2 linked regions of the Schizosaccharomyces pombe genome follow. The gene in region 1 interacts genetically with each later gene. Each region holds a gene or a part of one and is shown on either strand. Other genes may lie near its edges.

Evidence for each region.
Region 2: mutations in rhp26 (region 1) and rhp7 impair growth when combined (synthetic growth defect), as found in Schizosaccharomyces pombe (2 studies listed by BioGRID, with this or other methods).

Annotation. Positions count from the first base shown.
Region 1 is NC_003421.2:1,177,379-1,186,112, forward strand, and holds rhp26 (SNF2 family helicase Rhp26 ), read right to left. Parts: upstream 5,261-8,734; 5' UTR 5,180-5,260; coding exon 2,258-5,179; 3' UTR 1,554-2,257; downstream 1-1,553. Other genes in the region: transport protein Got1, read left to right, coding at 1-26; thiosulfate sulfurtransferase Tum1, read right to left, coding at 494-1,111, 1,169-1,447; THO complex subunit Tho1, read left to right, coding at 5,418-5,612, 5,672-6,562, 6,618-7,790; coa4 (respiratory chain complex assembly protein), read right to left, coding at 8,510-8,593, 8,640-8,734. UniProt on the Schizosaccharomyces pombe protein: Involved in transcription-coupled repair (TCR).
Region 2 is NC_003421.2:102,151-109,833, forward strand, and holds rhp7 (DNA repair protein), read left to right. Parts: upstream 1-3,529; coding exon 3,530-3,586; exon of another isoform or gene 3,587-3,634; coding exon 3,635-5,269; 3' UTR 5,270-5,698; downstream 5,699-7,683. Other genes in the region: raf1 (CLRC ubiquitin ligase complex WD repeat subunit Raf1/Dos1), read right to left, coding at 1-21; rhp16 (ATP-dependent helicase), read right to left, coding at 535-3,426; SPOM_SPCC330.19C (uncharacterized protein), read right to left, coding at 5,855-6,107, 6,168-6,187. UniProt on the Schizosaccharomyces pombe protein: Involved in global genome repair (GGR) via nucleotide excision repair (NER), in conjunction with rhp16, after UV irradiation.

The DNA of each region.
Region 1 (8,734 bases):
CTTCATACCAACAAAGTCCTGTATAAAATTACATCTTCATGCATTATTGTATTTTTATATATCCAAAAAAAAGTCCTAATAGGGAACCATTACCTTACACCTATGCACGAAATAAATCATATTAACTCTTTTCATAGAAAAGACGCAAAGTGTTTCAGTTTCATAGCCATAAAACTCACTTGAATAACACCAGTCAAAAGTGCACTTAACAACCTTTTCCAAAGGCTTGCACTTTAAAAAGAGAAACTCGTCAGTTTTATTATGAGCCTTTATTAAATTATTTTCCGGGTCTGACGTTAAACTATCGAGACAGCTACATATATATTATATAACATTTAACATTGGAAAGCAAAATCATTCAACATTTATTCGTCAACTTAACAATAAAATGAATTTGTTATTTAAAAACAAAAATCCTAATCAATACTCATAAGGTAAATCATTCACACCTTTACTTTATCTTCGTAATACATCGTTGATAACCATAGTATGCTTAAGGGCCAGTTGCTAGTAAAGAAGAATCTTCATTGGCACGTTTTCCATATCCAGACCAAGACTCATCATAAACGCGTACATCCTTAAAACCGCACTCCTTAAGAGCAGCAAACAATACAGAAGCAGTTACACCAGAGCCACATGAAGTGATTATGGGAACAGACTTGTCTGTTAAACCATGGCTAGAAAACACCTTTTCCAAATCTTCCTCAGGCTTCGGAGCTGTAATACCAGCAGCAGTGGTTTCGGTAAATGGAATGTTGATGGACGTAGGAATATGCCCACTAGCTAAACCAGGACGAGATTCGGGAACGTTGCCAAGAAACCTTTCATGAGCGCGAGCATCAACGATGTGAACGCCTGCGGCATCTGGACTTTCAATCACCTTTACAATGTCATCAAAGGAAGCAACCAGATCTTTGTTCAACTTAGCACCTTCGTAAACAACGGGCTTTGGAGTTCTAGGTTCTCCAGTTTCCAATTCAAGACCCTCAGTTTTCCATGCGTTAAACGCATTAGGAAATAAGAAAACATGCTCATGACCAAAGACTTTAAAGGTCCAGAAAACCCTAGGAGACGAAAAAAACCCTTTTCGGTCATAAATGATAACATTGGTCTAAAATATTAGTAAAATTGAAGACTAAGTAATTGGAATTTCTAAACTACTACTTACGTTTCTGTCAATTCCTAATTTTCCAACGTAAGAGGCGAATTCGTCAGCTGGAGGAAGCATATGAGGAAGGGGATTTTTGTGATCTTTAGCCTCATCTATATCAAAGTATTGAGCACCTGGAAGACGACTTTCTAAATACTCCTTCTTTCCGTTTTTAGTGTCTGTTGGCAAGTACCAAGTAGCATCCAAGAGAACGGTTTTTTGAGCATTATCCTTTAATTTTTGCAATACGCCCTTAATAGGCAAAATAAAAGAGATTTTTTTACCAACAGAGAACATTGTTTGAAGCAGAGTCTTATTTTGTTTCAGCGAACTACATAGACTTCGAATTTCAAGTAATCTTACGAAAGTACAGCGTTGGTTGCAGCTCCCAAAATTAATTAACGAGTCAAGTTTTTGGTAAAACCAAATATGTGTGTAAAAATGGTTAGATGCGGTTGCATTGCTTATATACAAATATTAATTTATATAAAATGAAAAAGTACTAGTAATAAGTTCGCCAATAAGCACCAAGACATCAAAATTTTTGAACCACTAGTTTTCTAATTAAAAGGTCTTTTCTGACACTGTCAACAAACATGACTCTAGCATTCTAATAACGTTGACAAAAGAACGTAGTAATTTATAGCTACAAAAAGGGTTGCACGGGTTGCACATACCACTAACTAAGCCGCTTTGAGTGTTCATACTTTTCTCAGCCAACTAGAAAGTTATTAACGCTAATTTTAGGTCTCAGGTAAAGCGAATTTGTCAAGTGCTTGCTTACAATAACATTAACACACTTTAACCAAGTACTTTAACAAAAGGGAAAAATGATCAAAGTAATTCCGACAGCCCTATCCTCAACATGGAATTGACATTTCCAATACTTTTCAAGCAAAGTAAACCCACCTAGTAATAAGGATAATTCCCATTCAAAAAATGAAATGATCGCGTGTCTATCAATAAATCCATAAATAAAGCTTAAATCATGAAAAACTTAATGTACAAAATAAAGGGAAATAATAATAAATAAATAAATGGGTACAAGATTGGGTCCGAAATTTTAATGGATACAGCTTACTCTAAGGCGAACTTCTTCTAATTAATTCATCGTCTCTGTTTTAGTCGGGCAAGAAGAGTGCTTGAAGTAATCGGACCTGATGGTTTAGAAGTACCAGGAACATTAGTAGATTGCTGCGGAGGTATAAGTTGACGAGGAGGTCGCCGAAAAGATGAAACTGCACGCAGAGCTTCATTAGCAACACGCGTCGCTTCTTTTTCAACCAATATGCTTTCAGTCTGGGAGGCTTCCATGATATCGTCGTGCTTTAAAGTACTCTGAATACCAGCACTAGCAAAAATATCATCAAGGACGGAATCATCCCCTAAAGTCGAATCAGAGTTTGTCTTAGTAACATTTGACTCTTGCGGTGGTTTATACTTTTCCATCGATGCAATCCCCATTTTTTCAAACACTTTGGAGCTGTTAACTTTTTTACCTTTGTCGTGAATTTTGTGCTTTTTTCGGTCACGAGCTGGAATATCTTCAGCTTCATTGCCATTTCTTGAGGAATTATCCTTTCGAAGTACTCGTTCAGATCCCAAAAACATGCTGCCTGTCTCAGTGCCCTCAGTCTTGTTATCGCCTAACGTAAACAAATCGTGCAAGTCCGTCATTTTAAAAAACCTTCTTTGTTTTGGATCTTTCAAAATTTTGTTAGTCAGAAACTGCTTAAAGATTTGACGATGATAAATTTTTTCTTCAATAGTTCCAGCAGTCATCAACCGATAAACTACTACATCTTTCTTTTGGCCCAGTCTCCAAGCACGTTCACGTGCTTGAGCATCCGTTGAGGGATTCCAATCAGGATCAAAAAGAATTACCCTGTCAGCACCAGTCAAATTGACTCCTAATCCACCAACACGAGTAGTTAGAAGAAACACATCAAAATACTCATTTTTATTAAAGTTGTCCACCAAATCTTGTCTTAAAGCAATAGATGTGCTACCATCCATGCGACAGTAATGAACATCCGGCAAATCCTTTAATCCTATTTCCAGTATGTCGAGCATTTGGCGAGTCTGAGAAAATAGAAGAGTTCTATGTCCTTGTTTTTTCCACAAAGTTAGTAATGCTCTAATAACCTTCAGTTTGCCAGACTTTTCAGGATCACCATAGTTGTAATCTTCTTTATGTAACAAGTACTCTCGAGTTACAAGATCTGGATGATTACAAATTTTTCGTAGTATATCAATTCCATAAAGCATTTGACGCTTTCCGTTCAAGATCTTTTGCATATCAGAGCCTTGCAAAAAATCTTGGTAAGCTTTCCTTTGTAAAGGAGTCAGCTTACAGAACAATACTTGTTCGGACTTCTTAGGTAAATCTGCAGCAACGTCAAGCTTCATTCTTCTAAGTAAATAAGGAGAAATTAAATCTCGAAGCATGCAGGCGCATTTATAAGCGGTTTGCACTTGAACATTTGAAGCATTGGCATAACCACCAATATTAATAGGTAAGGCAAATTGATTTTGAAATACCGGTAATGTACCCAATCTTCCAGGAAATACAAAATCAAATAAATTCCAAAGCTCGGTAAGGTTGTTCTGGATCGGAGTCCCTGAGAGGATAATCCTATTCACAGTACGGATTTGCTTACACGAAATAGATATTTCAGAATCTGGGTTTCGTATTTTGTGCCCTTCATCCAAAACACAATAACCCCATTCCCGTGGTAAAATCAAATCACCATATATCCTTAAACCAGCATATGTTGTAATTAAAATGTGGCCTCTAGTGAAGACACTTTCAACTAAGTTCTTAGCGTATCTGTGGAATGAACTTGAAGCACCTCTTAATTTTATGGAGGTTTTGCTTTCTTCCGCTTCACTTTCAGAAGCGTCAGATTCATACTGTCTCTTTTCGCGTGAAGCACGCTGTCCGCTGCCAGTAGCATGAAGAACAACAACACGTAATGGAGCCCACCATGTATGAAACTCATTAACCCACTGCTTCATTAAAGTCGCTGGACAAACGATAAGTGCAGGCTTTTGAAATTTGCCAGAGTGATGCAAAGACGAAAGGAAAGATACTATTTGAATAGTTTTTCCTAGTCCCATTTCATCACCAATGATTCCTCCGGCCTCTTGACAATAGAGTTCCCATAACCATTGTACGCAAGTGACTTGATAACGGAAAAGATGTGGGCGAATATCACCTGGGATGGTAAATCCACCCTCAAAAGTCTGTCCTTTTTTGGAAGGATGAGGTAGTAACCACTCATCTTTACCTTCAAACTCTCCTCTATCTTTATTGTTTTCAGATGCTGAGGCCTGATCTCGTAATTCCTTACGATTCGCACACCAAGCATTAAGCCTTTGTCGATATACCAAATCATCTCCATCATCTATAGCGGCAGTTACTACTTTCTCCGTAACAGCATCCACAGTTACGTACTCATCTTTTTCGTCTCTTGGAATAATCCCATGATCAATATTTGACGGCTCCGAACTCAAATGAGGTGCCGTTTCATAGTATGTTCCTTCAGACTTTATAACAGCCTCACGAATGCTAGATTCATCATCAAAATCAACTTCTTTTTGTAGTCCAGAGAGATTTCGAAACGGTGTAACCTTACCAGTACGGATGAGCTCTTGTCTTTCCAATTCTTCAGTCGAAAATGCACCTATACCAGGGGCATTTGCCGAATCTTCGTTATTAAGTCTTCTCTTAATATCATTTTCGTCTGATTGTAAACTTTGAAGAGTGTCTCGGAATTTAGATAATTGTTTGCGGAAGTTCTCCTTGACACTTATTTTTGTAAGTCGACTGTCTATACGCTCATCAAGGCGACGTATTTTTTCTTTTACAGAAGATATTTCTTTCCTGACTTTTTGAAGTCTCTTCTTTTCGATCTCTCGACTTTCATGTGCAATGTACTCACTAGCAGTATTCGTAACATCGCGTTCCAAATTCTCTTGGTCAACCGAAAAAACCCCTAAATGGGATAGATCTTCATTGACACTCATATCCTATCAATTTCTTAAATAAAGTCTCATTTTCAGACTCACTGCAAATTTAAGAAAATACTTTGTTGTTTGGTTAAGGGCAAAATTACATATTCCTTCATGCTGCTCCTGTTATAGCGAGAAGCAATGAACCACACAAAGCAATAACGAATAAATCCTTATTTCTAAATGACATTGTCAATGCTAGATAAACTCACGTTTCTGCGCGCGGATTGTATATTCGCAGACTTTTAAAGTAATGGAGGTGCAAAAGGGTTTAATTGAAGCTTTTTATAATACATATCCATTAGAAAAGGCAAAAGAACTGGATAAGAGTCCACTTTGTTCTGAATATGAATTATTCATCAAAGAATTATGGCCTTCGATTGTTGAGAGTTTTCATAACTCAACTGAGTTTGAAACGGCAATAAGATTTTGCTGTTATGAAACAGCAGTATGTGCTTTTTCCATAATGAAGTTTTCCTTAAGTTACTAATTGTTATTTTCGTGTAGCGCAAAAGTGAGATTGGATTGGAGGAGCGATTAAAATGTTTATTTGCGATTTTGGATCTCTTAGTAATAGGGAACGAAATTAACGAAAGCTTCTGTGATCACCTGTTGCCTTTTCTAATCTTGGAAGAGCTGATGGACATTCACACCGTCAACGAATGCGCCAAATTATATGAATATTTTGAAACCAGACCTAGCTTGATGAAAGGTATTGTCAGCAATCGTGGAAGAGGACCCGTTTTGCTTCGGATATCAAATGAATTACTCCGGCGTCTTTCTCGGCAAGAAAATTCATCTTTTTGTGGGCGGATCGATATTCTGCTAAGTAAGGCTTTCCCCCCTGAAGAACGGAGTGGAGCCAATTTACGTGGAGATTATAATACTGTTCATTCTTTTGGGAAGGTAGAACTGTCACCACCATCCACACCCATTTCGGACCGAACAGACCTCTCATATCACAAAAAACTTAATACCTTATTTACTGCTTATTGGGATTTGCAGTGTATGTGCTCCAACCCTCCTAAATTACTAGCAAGTGATACCTTACCTAAGTTTATAGATGCAGCTGGTTCTGCAATACAGGCATTCGAATCTATATTACAAAATACGTTCTTCAATGGGAAGTCAAACCCTACAATTGATCCAAACTCTAGCTCATTACTTTCTGAAAAATATATAACTTTGGATAAAGGATTTCCTTCTAAATATATATATTCTCGGTCGCTTTTTGAATACCAACTTTCAGATGAAGATTTCCGGTTACAGGCTATTTTACAATTAATTATTATTTTCGACTTTTTGCTTGACCATTCTAAAGAACGAATTGAAAGGAGAACTCTTGAAAAATGGACAAATAAGGCGGTAATTCCCATTGTTATTTTGTCTGACGAAGATGTATGTTCTTTTTTAGACTCGAAAAAAACTGATTTTATTGATTGCTAATATGTAGACCTCAAAGTTAAATGAATTATCCAAAGAAGCATATAGTTTCTTACATACTGCCCGGTGTGGTTCTGTGCAAAGAACCATTAAAGAAATTATACATATTGAGGGTAATTGGAAATTATGGAAAGGGCTTGGCTGCCCTTCCCTTGAAAAACCCCTAGTAGATAAAGCGGCTATTGATGAAGCTGTCGAAGGCTTAAAAAAGCTTACAAACACCCCAGTGAAATTAAGATTTGCTATGGGAAATGCTGCTTTGTCGAGGCTCTGGGAGCAGGCTGGAGAAAATACCCTTGATGATCTCAAAAAGGAGGAAAGGTACCGGATTCCATCACCTGAGAGCTTTTTATCTGGCGTTAAAGCAGACAAGTTTGAAATAGAAGAGGCAGTTAGAGATGATGACAAGCATTTCCATGAACAGTCCTTGGCAACGAAGACATGGCGTGCCTTTCGTTCAGCAATTAATAGCCATCTTCAAAACTTTTCGGATACCGGACTAGGTGATGTTGAATTGCTTTGTAATTCCATTGAGGGCAAACCGACTACATCGAAAATTACACCCTCTATTCCTCCAGCTTTTGATATTCATATTATAGAAGGAGAAGAGTTATTAGAGGAAATGAAAAAGAGGGAGAATGTCAAGCACAATTCTCAAAACTTTGCAAGTCCTATGCAAACAGATGCTGAAGGTGATATTGTCCAAAATGAAGAGGAAAAAGAAAGCGTTGAGGTTGAAGAAGGAAAACATAAAAATGACTTGCCAAAGGTATCACCTAAACCCCCAACTGAGGGTGTGGACAGTGAAGTAAACGGTGAATCTTTGGTTCAGGTTAATAAGGTTCTCAAATCAGAAGATGATAATACATCTGAAGCTTCAAAGGACCCATCTTCACATGTGAAATCTCCCGAAAATATTGAAAAACTAAAACAAAATGATGATCACTTTGAGGTCACAGAAGAAATTACTTCCACCATAAATTCTAAAATATCTGAAAAGCAAGAGAATAATGTTGCTGAAACTATATTGGAAGTAACATCTAGTCCAAAATCTTCTGAAAATAGTCAAAAGCAGTCAGAGATTACTAAAAAGCGAGGACGGGATGAGGAAGATGAACCTTCTGACCTTCATTCAAGCCCTAAAAGGCCAAAAACTGGAGAGGATGGAGAAATTGTATTATAATCATTAAATCAATTACACATATGTGATAAGTGCTTAGTTATGATTGAGTCAGAAAATGTATATATAGTTAATGTTTTGATCTAGCGTGTTTTTGTATGCGCTTATATAAAATAAAATTACATCCTTTTAGTAGAGCTACTGTAAAGATGAATTTCATTGTTTATTGATGGGTAAATTACGCTTATTTACTAAACTGCACACATTTTTTGACAGTTGAATACGTTCACATGTTCAATATGAAAACATTCTAAAGTCAAATTTTTTATTTTTCAACAAATGCAACAATAAAAGCGGGTTATAAGTACAGAACTTTTCCAATATCGATGGATCAGATTTGAAACAGACTTATACAATTTGACAACAACGTTGAATTGTAAAATATGTTTTTGCGTATTTAAACTCCATCCTATCAATTCAATACTAAGTCATAACTTGCTTTACCATACCACATAACACAGAAAAATTGATGCACTATGACAACTGAGACTTCGTAAAATAAATAGCTGAAAACTCTGCAATTGCAGAAAATATTCAAAAAAATTATATCAAATGAGTTAATGATTTGAAACACTGTCTTCGTATTTGAAGAATCCAATTAATTAGTTCCGCATGCATTATATCTTTTTCAATAAAAAGAATTCATCCTAATAACAGCGTACTAAAACTGCCGTAAACAGAATAATTATTTTTTTCACAAAATCACATGATATAGAAACTCATTAAGATAAATTTTTATTTTTTTTGTCTGAGATACTTGGCAAAGGACCATGTCTCTTTTCCCAACATTTCCTGAATTCTTCCATCTAAAAATATCAGAATTAGCTAAATTTTTTAAAGACATATAATTACCTGTTCTGTACATTTCCTCCAATCATGAGTATCCCAATAGCAATCATTCAGTCGAAGGTGCTCTTCTACACATCCACCTTTTTCAAGAGCAGTGT
Region 2 (7,683 bases), 1.1 Mb from region 1:
CCGTGGTGAACTATTAGTCATGCCATAAATAGGAAATTGTTTGAGAAATTATTGGGCTTTTTACTTTTAATCCTTCAGTGTGCAAGTTCACTAGTTTAACAGAAGTTATGGGTTGCTGAGTGAGTTTAAGGCACTGATTGATATAAAGAATTTACTAAGTCCAAAAAGTATAAAGACATTCCAAAATCGAAAATATTATATTAAAATTGAAGATATAATGATTATCTATTGAGTTACTATTATTACAAATTTATCAGTCAAAGGTAAGTTAATGACTTTACATTGAAGCGATAAAATCTTAACTATGTTTAATTTGTTTTAAAAAACTTTAACCGTTCTATTGACAACTCAATAATAAATTATATCCATTAATAGGAATCCCCAAAAAAATAAATAAACTTCCAAAACGCATATACTGACTTAGGGAATTACGGTCCAAAAAACTAGGATAACAAAAAAAATGCAAAGGGAGATATGGCAGGTATATAAAAAGGAAACGGCCAAAATTTGGGCTAATTTTAAAAAAACAAAATTCTAATTTGAGAACAAGAATTGCATATCCTCGACAGAAAGCTGGTTCAAAGCCTTTTCGTCTTGATCTATGGTTGCATGTATCATCTGAGCTTTCTTTTCTTGTAGTTCAATAATTTTGCTTTCAATGGAATTTTCAATACACAGGGTAATTACTTTTATCGGCCTTTTTTGTCCAATACGATGAATTCGATCCATTGCCTGCCACTGTACAGCTCCATTCCACCAAGGATCCATCATAAACACTTGAGATGCCTCTGTAAGGTTCAAAGCAACACCACCTGCTTTCAACGAAACTAGAAAAATGGTAATATTAATATCGTTACTGAAAGCCTCAATAGTAGCTGCTCTCGCTTTGGGGGTCATACCACCATCTAGCTTTACACAATTAAACCCGGCTTTTCGAAGTCGCCAATGAATGAGATCTAACATAGAAGTAAATTGAGAGAAAACAATCGACTTCAGTGTTCGGTCCTTCTTACGAAGTAAGTAAAGCTCCTCAACTAATGCTTCAATTTTTGTAGATGAACGCCAACTATTCATATCAATTCTATTCAAAATCGATGCATTCTTAAACTTCTCTTCAGAAAAATCTTCTAAAGCAGGGGCACTAAGATCTATGCTTAAGGGAATGAAACAACTTGGACAGTTGACATTTTCTCCATCACCAGCTGCATTGATATATTCCGTAACGCAGAGTCGACAAAATGTGTGATGGCAACGTGATTCTATAGCATCTTGAGCGACTTCGTCACAAATCTTACAGACGATATTTTCCTGATTTTCAATATCAACTGTTTTTCGTTTGCTAGCTAACACCAGGTCAGGATGATCTGCCATTTGGCGCATTCGTGTAATTAGCTGGAAAATGTTTGCATAATTATTCAAAACGACACCTTCAGCAAGATATGTATTAAATTTTCTTTTTGAATCCATATATAAAGATTGGTATACATCTTCCTCTTCTTCGTTGAATAAATCTTTCCTCACTTCAACGACTCGAGGAGGTAATCCAAGGTCATCAGCCCTCTCTAATTTTGTTCGACGTAACATAATGTGTTTTAATAAAGAATGCACCTTTTTAAAAGCTAGCTTTCCTGGACCTTCGTATCCAAACTTTTGTATTGGTTTTAGCATTTCAGCGTTAAAATAGCAAGTATGACTCATTGGTTTATGGCCGCATTCGTCGCAATTACTTCTATCGGAAAATCTCCAGTGCAGAGATTTACATTCACATTGCAAGCAATAGTAGTAAGCAAAAGGATCTGCCCGTAGGAACCGAAGAAGTGAAAATAATTCTCCAATACGGTTTTGCAAAGGTGTTCCTGAAAGACATATCTTTCTTGTCGTTCTTAAGCCACAAACAGCTCTGGCAGTGTTACAAGTCCTTGATTTGATACCATGGGCCTCATCAAGTATAATTCGGTAAAACTCCATTTGATGAAGTAATGACTTTTCTTTTACAACACCGTTTTTCCTTCTGAATCCGCTGCGTTCCTTCCTGTAAACTGATTCAATTACATTGTAACTCGTTAGTACAACATCATAGCTCGAAAGCTCTTCTCCTGAAATATCACGAGCCTGGCCATAATAAAGATATGTACTCAGTGCTTTATTGGTATGTGTATCAATCTCTTCTTTCCATTGCATAATTGCTACAACCGGAGCAACAACCAAGGTTGGCTTACCTCGAGGTTCTGAAAGCAACAACGCAATTGTTTGAATAGTCTTACCCATACCCATTTCATCGGCCAAGATTCCTCCACCAAAAGAGGAATCTTCTTGTCGTTTTAACCAATATACACCTTCTCGTTGAAAAGGGAGAAGGTTTAGGACCAACTCTTTGGGTTGCTCGATCTGTTTCACTTCACGAGGTGCTTCTTCTTCCAATTTCTCCCAAACATGTTCTAGTTCAGGATGTTGTCGAATCAGACGATAATGGGTTCTTTCATGTGATGGAATTGATTTTGCTTGTGTTCTAGAGGAAGAGGACGCGGAAGAAGAAGCCCTAGCGGATACCCTCCTTCGTTTGGACTGGTAACTTAAAGGGATTGACTCTTCATCACTTTCCGTAGAAGAACTTGGAGCAGCTTCTGGAATTTCTACTTTACTATCAAAAGTTTCATCCTCTTTGATATCAATTATGCTAGCAACTTCATCACTTTCATCATCATCAATAAATTCGGATTCATTAGATTCTTCTGGAGATGACAATGGCACAAACTTTTTTTTCAAATTCGAGGACCTTAATGAACGTTTTCTGGCACTAGAAAAACCTGTATTGGGATTTGCTTCTACATTGTCTGTGCTGCTACCGGTGTGTGTACTGGTATCAGAAATGGATAATGGGGGTGTCGAATGTTGAGATGAGGTGTTGTTTGACTGGATAATCAATTTTTTGTTTGTTGACAGAGGTTCTTCAAACTCTTTTCCGTTCCAGCGCGTTGTCTCCATATCTAACTTGTCGTCACGCTCGACTTGTTGATTTGAAGCATTCCCCTTTGAATCACCATTATCATCTAGAACAAAATGCATATTTTCTTTTCCCTTATTACTATTCGAGTTTATTTTATTACATGACGTCCCCATTTGTGAATGTAAATTGTTTTCAACCACTTCCTCATCTTCACTTTCTACAATAATGCCCGCAATGGGAGAAGATGACCATTCATCTTGATTGCCTGGTACATCATGAATGTTATTTATCTCTGAATAAGTAGTAGAAAATGGAGCCTGCCCATTACTTTGCTCATCATTATTGTCTGCTTGAAGAGACGCCTGAGTAGTATGGTTATTGCGAGTATTTTTCCAATTTATGGAATCAATTGTATCGTTTGAATTAATATCTACAGCTTCATTTTGTAATTGGTCCACTTTTAGAGTAGATATATGCATAGTAGTGGTTGGTATGAGACAAGTTGCCACGCGATCTGAAGCGATTTAATTAAACTCAACCACACTTCCACCTTATCCTCAGCATACTAAGGATTTCTTTAAAATGTCAAGTGGAAGTCGGGTGAGAGGGCCAAATTCTGCTTTAACAGAATTTTTAAGAGTATGTGATGACTCTTTCTTAGCTCGGAGTTACTAATGCATTATTCAGTCTCAAGGTATCAATGCTTCAGCATTAGGACGTGCTCGTCCTCCTCGTCAAAGCGAGGAGTCAGCAGGGCAATCGACTGGGACAGAATCAGAAGTTATTCAAACACCGACTTCTGTTGAAGAAAACAACGAAGATGAAAACTCGATGTCGACAACGACAATTGAGATACCAGTAGTGAAACGACGAAATCTACGAAATCAAAAAAAGAAGAAGAAAACGGATGAAGAAGCTGAAGACAACGAGGACACTTTTTCAATGAATTCAAGAGCTGGGTTTTCTTATAAAGCAAGGGAGCATACGGGCAAACTAGATTTTTGCGCACACTGTAATTGTCGCTTTACAATAACCCCATACAGCAAATACAGCAATTCAGAGAAAGGGTGGCTATGTTATCCTTGTAGTCGTGGTGCTGAAGATCGATCGGTACCTGAATTAAGGACGAGAAAAAGAAAAGCATTGACCCGTAAAAAGGTGGCTGCCGCTACCATGGACGAAGAAATCAGTGTTCCTAAGCTTCAGGATTTGTGTATACGAGTTATTGCTGAATACATAAATGATATCGAAGCTTTTGGGGATATTGGCCAAGTGAATATGGACAAAATTAGCCAAATAATTTCAAAAAACCGCTCTCTTAACGATACTACTGTGAAATTATTCTTAAGTGGGGGTCAAACTGAATTAAAACTATATGATTGCTCAAAGATTACAGCAGATTCACTTTTCCAAATTGCTCAATACTGCCCAAATCTTCAAACTTTGCATCTTACTTATTGTGGTCAAATGCAGGATCAAGTTTTACACTTTTATGCGGATCATTTGACTGAATTAACAGATGTATCTTTTCAAGGTGCCTTTTTGGTTTCTTCCTCAGAATGGATAAATTTTTTTAAAAAACGGGGTTCAAAGCTTATAAGTTTAGAGCTTACGGATACTGCCCGAATTCATGTTTCGGTTATCAACGCTATAGTTGACTGTTGCCCAAATTTGATTAGCCTTAATCTCTCTAGAATTTTCTATCTTGATGATGAATGCGTCCGTCTATTAGCTGGTTGTAGAAATCTTGTCAGTTTGAAGATTGAATCACCAGGCGGCATCATTAATGATGGAAGTATATTAGATGTACTAAACCAAATTGGAAGCGGTTTGCATACTCTTAGTTTATCTGGTTGTACAAAATTAACTGATGAAGTTTTGAAACAAGGTATAGGTCCTTGTTGTGGTCGTCTTAAGCATCTAAATTTAAGTGGTTTGGAACTGTTAACAGATGATGAGGCCTCTATAGTTTTTGGTGAATGGAAGATTCAGTCAGGCTTAGAAACATTGTCCTTAAGAAGGTGTCTGTCACTTGGAGATAAAACTGTTCGTGCAGTATTGGTTAATTCAGGGCATACGCTTCGCACTCTGGATTTAAATGGAATGTCGTTTGTGACTGATGAAGCATTACAGTATATTGTCAATTTTCCATTACCTATGCTAAAAGCACTTGATGTCAGCTGGATTCGTGGAATGAATGACAAATTGGTATGCGATTTTGAAAGCAAAAAGCCAACGCTTGAGAAGCTTTTGGTATGGGGAGATAATCATGTCCTGATGCCCTCAAATCGGTTACTTCTGATAGGGCGTGAAGTTCAATAAGGATGGAAATACTTTCTTTTTCAATTTTATCAAAGGTTTTGGTTGTTGAATTGGACCTGTAATTATTCTTTTGAAAAATTTAATGACTAGTACATTATTTAAATTATCACCTTATTTGATGGACACTAAGTTCCTTGAACAGCCTCAATCTCTTTTTGTGTCTTTCTGATATTATTCTTTAACGAATATTTGTATTTGAAACCTTTTTATTTTTAATTTTATTTATTTATTTATTTTCAAATTAGATGATATGGTCTGCGAACAAATAGCTAACCATTTCTTTGGGTAATGAATTATTTTTTTATTACCATTCCCTCTCTTTACGAATGGATCTCCGAATCATTTTTACACATAATCAAACAATTTAACTACCTTTTTTTAAAAAAAAAATCCCGCTGCTCTTTGTTGTAATACAAATATCAAGCAATGTAATTTTCAATCACCTTGATTTTATATAGCATAAGATTATGAATAGTACACTAATGGTATTGCTTGCCAGACTAAAGAGGTTTACTGCTGCTCGGAAACGCAAAGCTCATCAAACAAACATAAATATTTATCCTTTTTAAACTGCAAACATTCTTTTCAAACTGTAATATTCCAATCGCCCGACAAGTTGGGCATATGAAAAATCAAACAATTGAAAACACTGGTTATGCAAGTCGATTTGGCTATCTCACAATCCGCCAGAAAAGTATGCAAAAAATATATACAAGGGCAAAAAAAAGCAAAAAGCAAGACAAGCGGTATGAGATTAATAATAATATTGAGTTGTAAACCGAAAATATTGATTCTAATGCTTAATAATTCGAGTTTACGACTACGGTCATGAGCCTCACTATAAAGAAGAATTACTTAGTGAGCCGTTGATTTATTATAAAAGAATGATTAAACGTACCTTTTGTTCAAGACTACCATTCTCCATTAAAGATATGCGATTATCTTCCTCTTGATTAATATACATCTTGAAAGAGGCTATCTTCAAACCTGTGAAATATCAATTTATATAGAGCAAATGGTCAGAGAATGAATGGGCTTTCTTCCAGAAAACGAGTTCACTTAAGCCAGGCAGGCCCTAGTCCTTATATACTATCTATTTTGCAGAGCTAAAGGGACGATTGTTAAAGCGGAGATAATGTCAGCAATACTGGACTACTCTATGATACACCATGTTGCGTATTTCTATATGTCACAAGCTCTACATTGTATTATAGATACCCGTTGATAAAAACTATTAGTAAGATTGTAAATGGAGCTTCTACTGAACCTCGTTTCACAGTTCAGTTATGAGCTATATCGGTGACCGATACTAACAGACTTCTTATAACAATAAATATAATATTGTTAGTTAACATACCGCATACCGCTACATTGTAGATCGCAAGTAAAAACTCACCGCAGTTCTATATATCGTTAAAACAGATATCAAACTGCGTAGCTAACAGATAACATACATTTATTTACTCACATATATTCTGGTTAATTATCAGTTTACATATTAAAGAAATGGGGACAGCAGAACTACAACTTTGCAGTCTCAACTTACAAACGATATAAAACATCCTTCATCATTGTATAGTACAACATACATACAAATGAATATTCGACAATGTGTTATAACCAACTCATAGTTAAAAACAACTTTAGTTATGTTGAACTTCCTTGGCTGTGTTGAATAAAGAATTCGCAGTTGCGACTTTTATGTAAACAAGTCATTAAACTCAGTTTCAGAAGCAATTGAAGGGCTTGTTATATATATTATGTGACATAAAGGTTTTTTGAATCCGGTAGAATGAATAGATTGAATAAATACAGTGAACATTTGAACAAGTGATTTAGATCTATTTATGTTTAAAGTGCTTCGCTGATCAATAAGATGAGCGACAAGCGAAAAAATGAGATATGCTGAATTACTTCAGATTTTGTTTTCTTTGGTTATCAAAATTCCAAGCTTACTCGCTCGAATTTCTCAACTATTAATCTATGTGTCTCATCATCGTTCATTCCATTAAAACCAATTGAAAATACGGCTACAACAGTAAAACAATACGATTGTTAAAATTAAAAGAACCCTAGTCAATGCTTAATGCGATCATTGTTTTACGGAATTTTTTAAACAAATCAAAGCTTTATACCAAATACACTACAAGTTTATAACTGATCATACACAATACTCTCTTGTAAGCACACAAAGCGGGATAAAAAGTTAAGTAGATTTAAATATTTAAACATGAACTCTTTGAAACTAAAACATAGCAAAGCTCTGCGCCCGAATAATAAAAATATCAGTCATAAAAAATATGCGAAAAAATTTTTAGACATGGGTGTAAGCAGAACACGAGCAAAACCATATGTTTCTCGCCAGGATCACAACCCACAAAGATACATATTGTTCCACTTTGCTATGTTTTCAA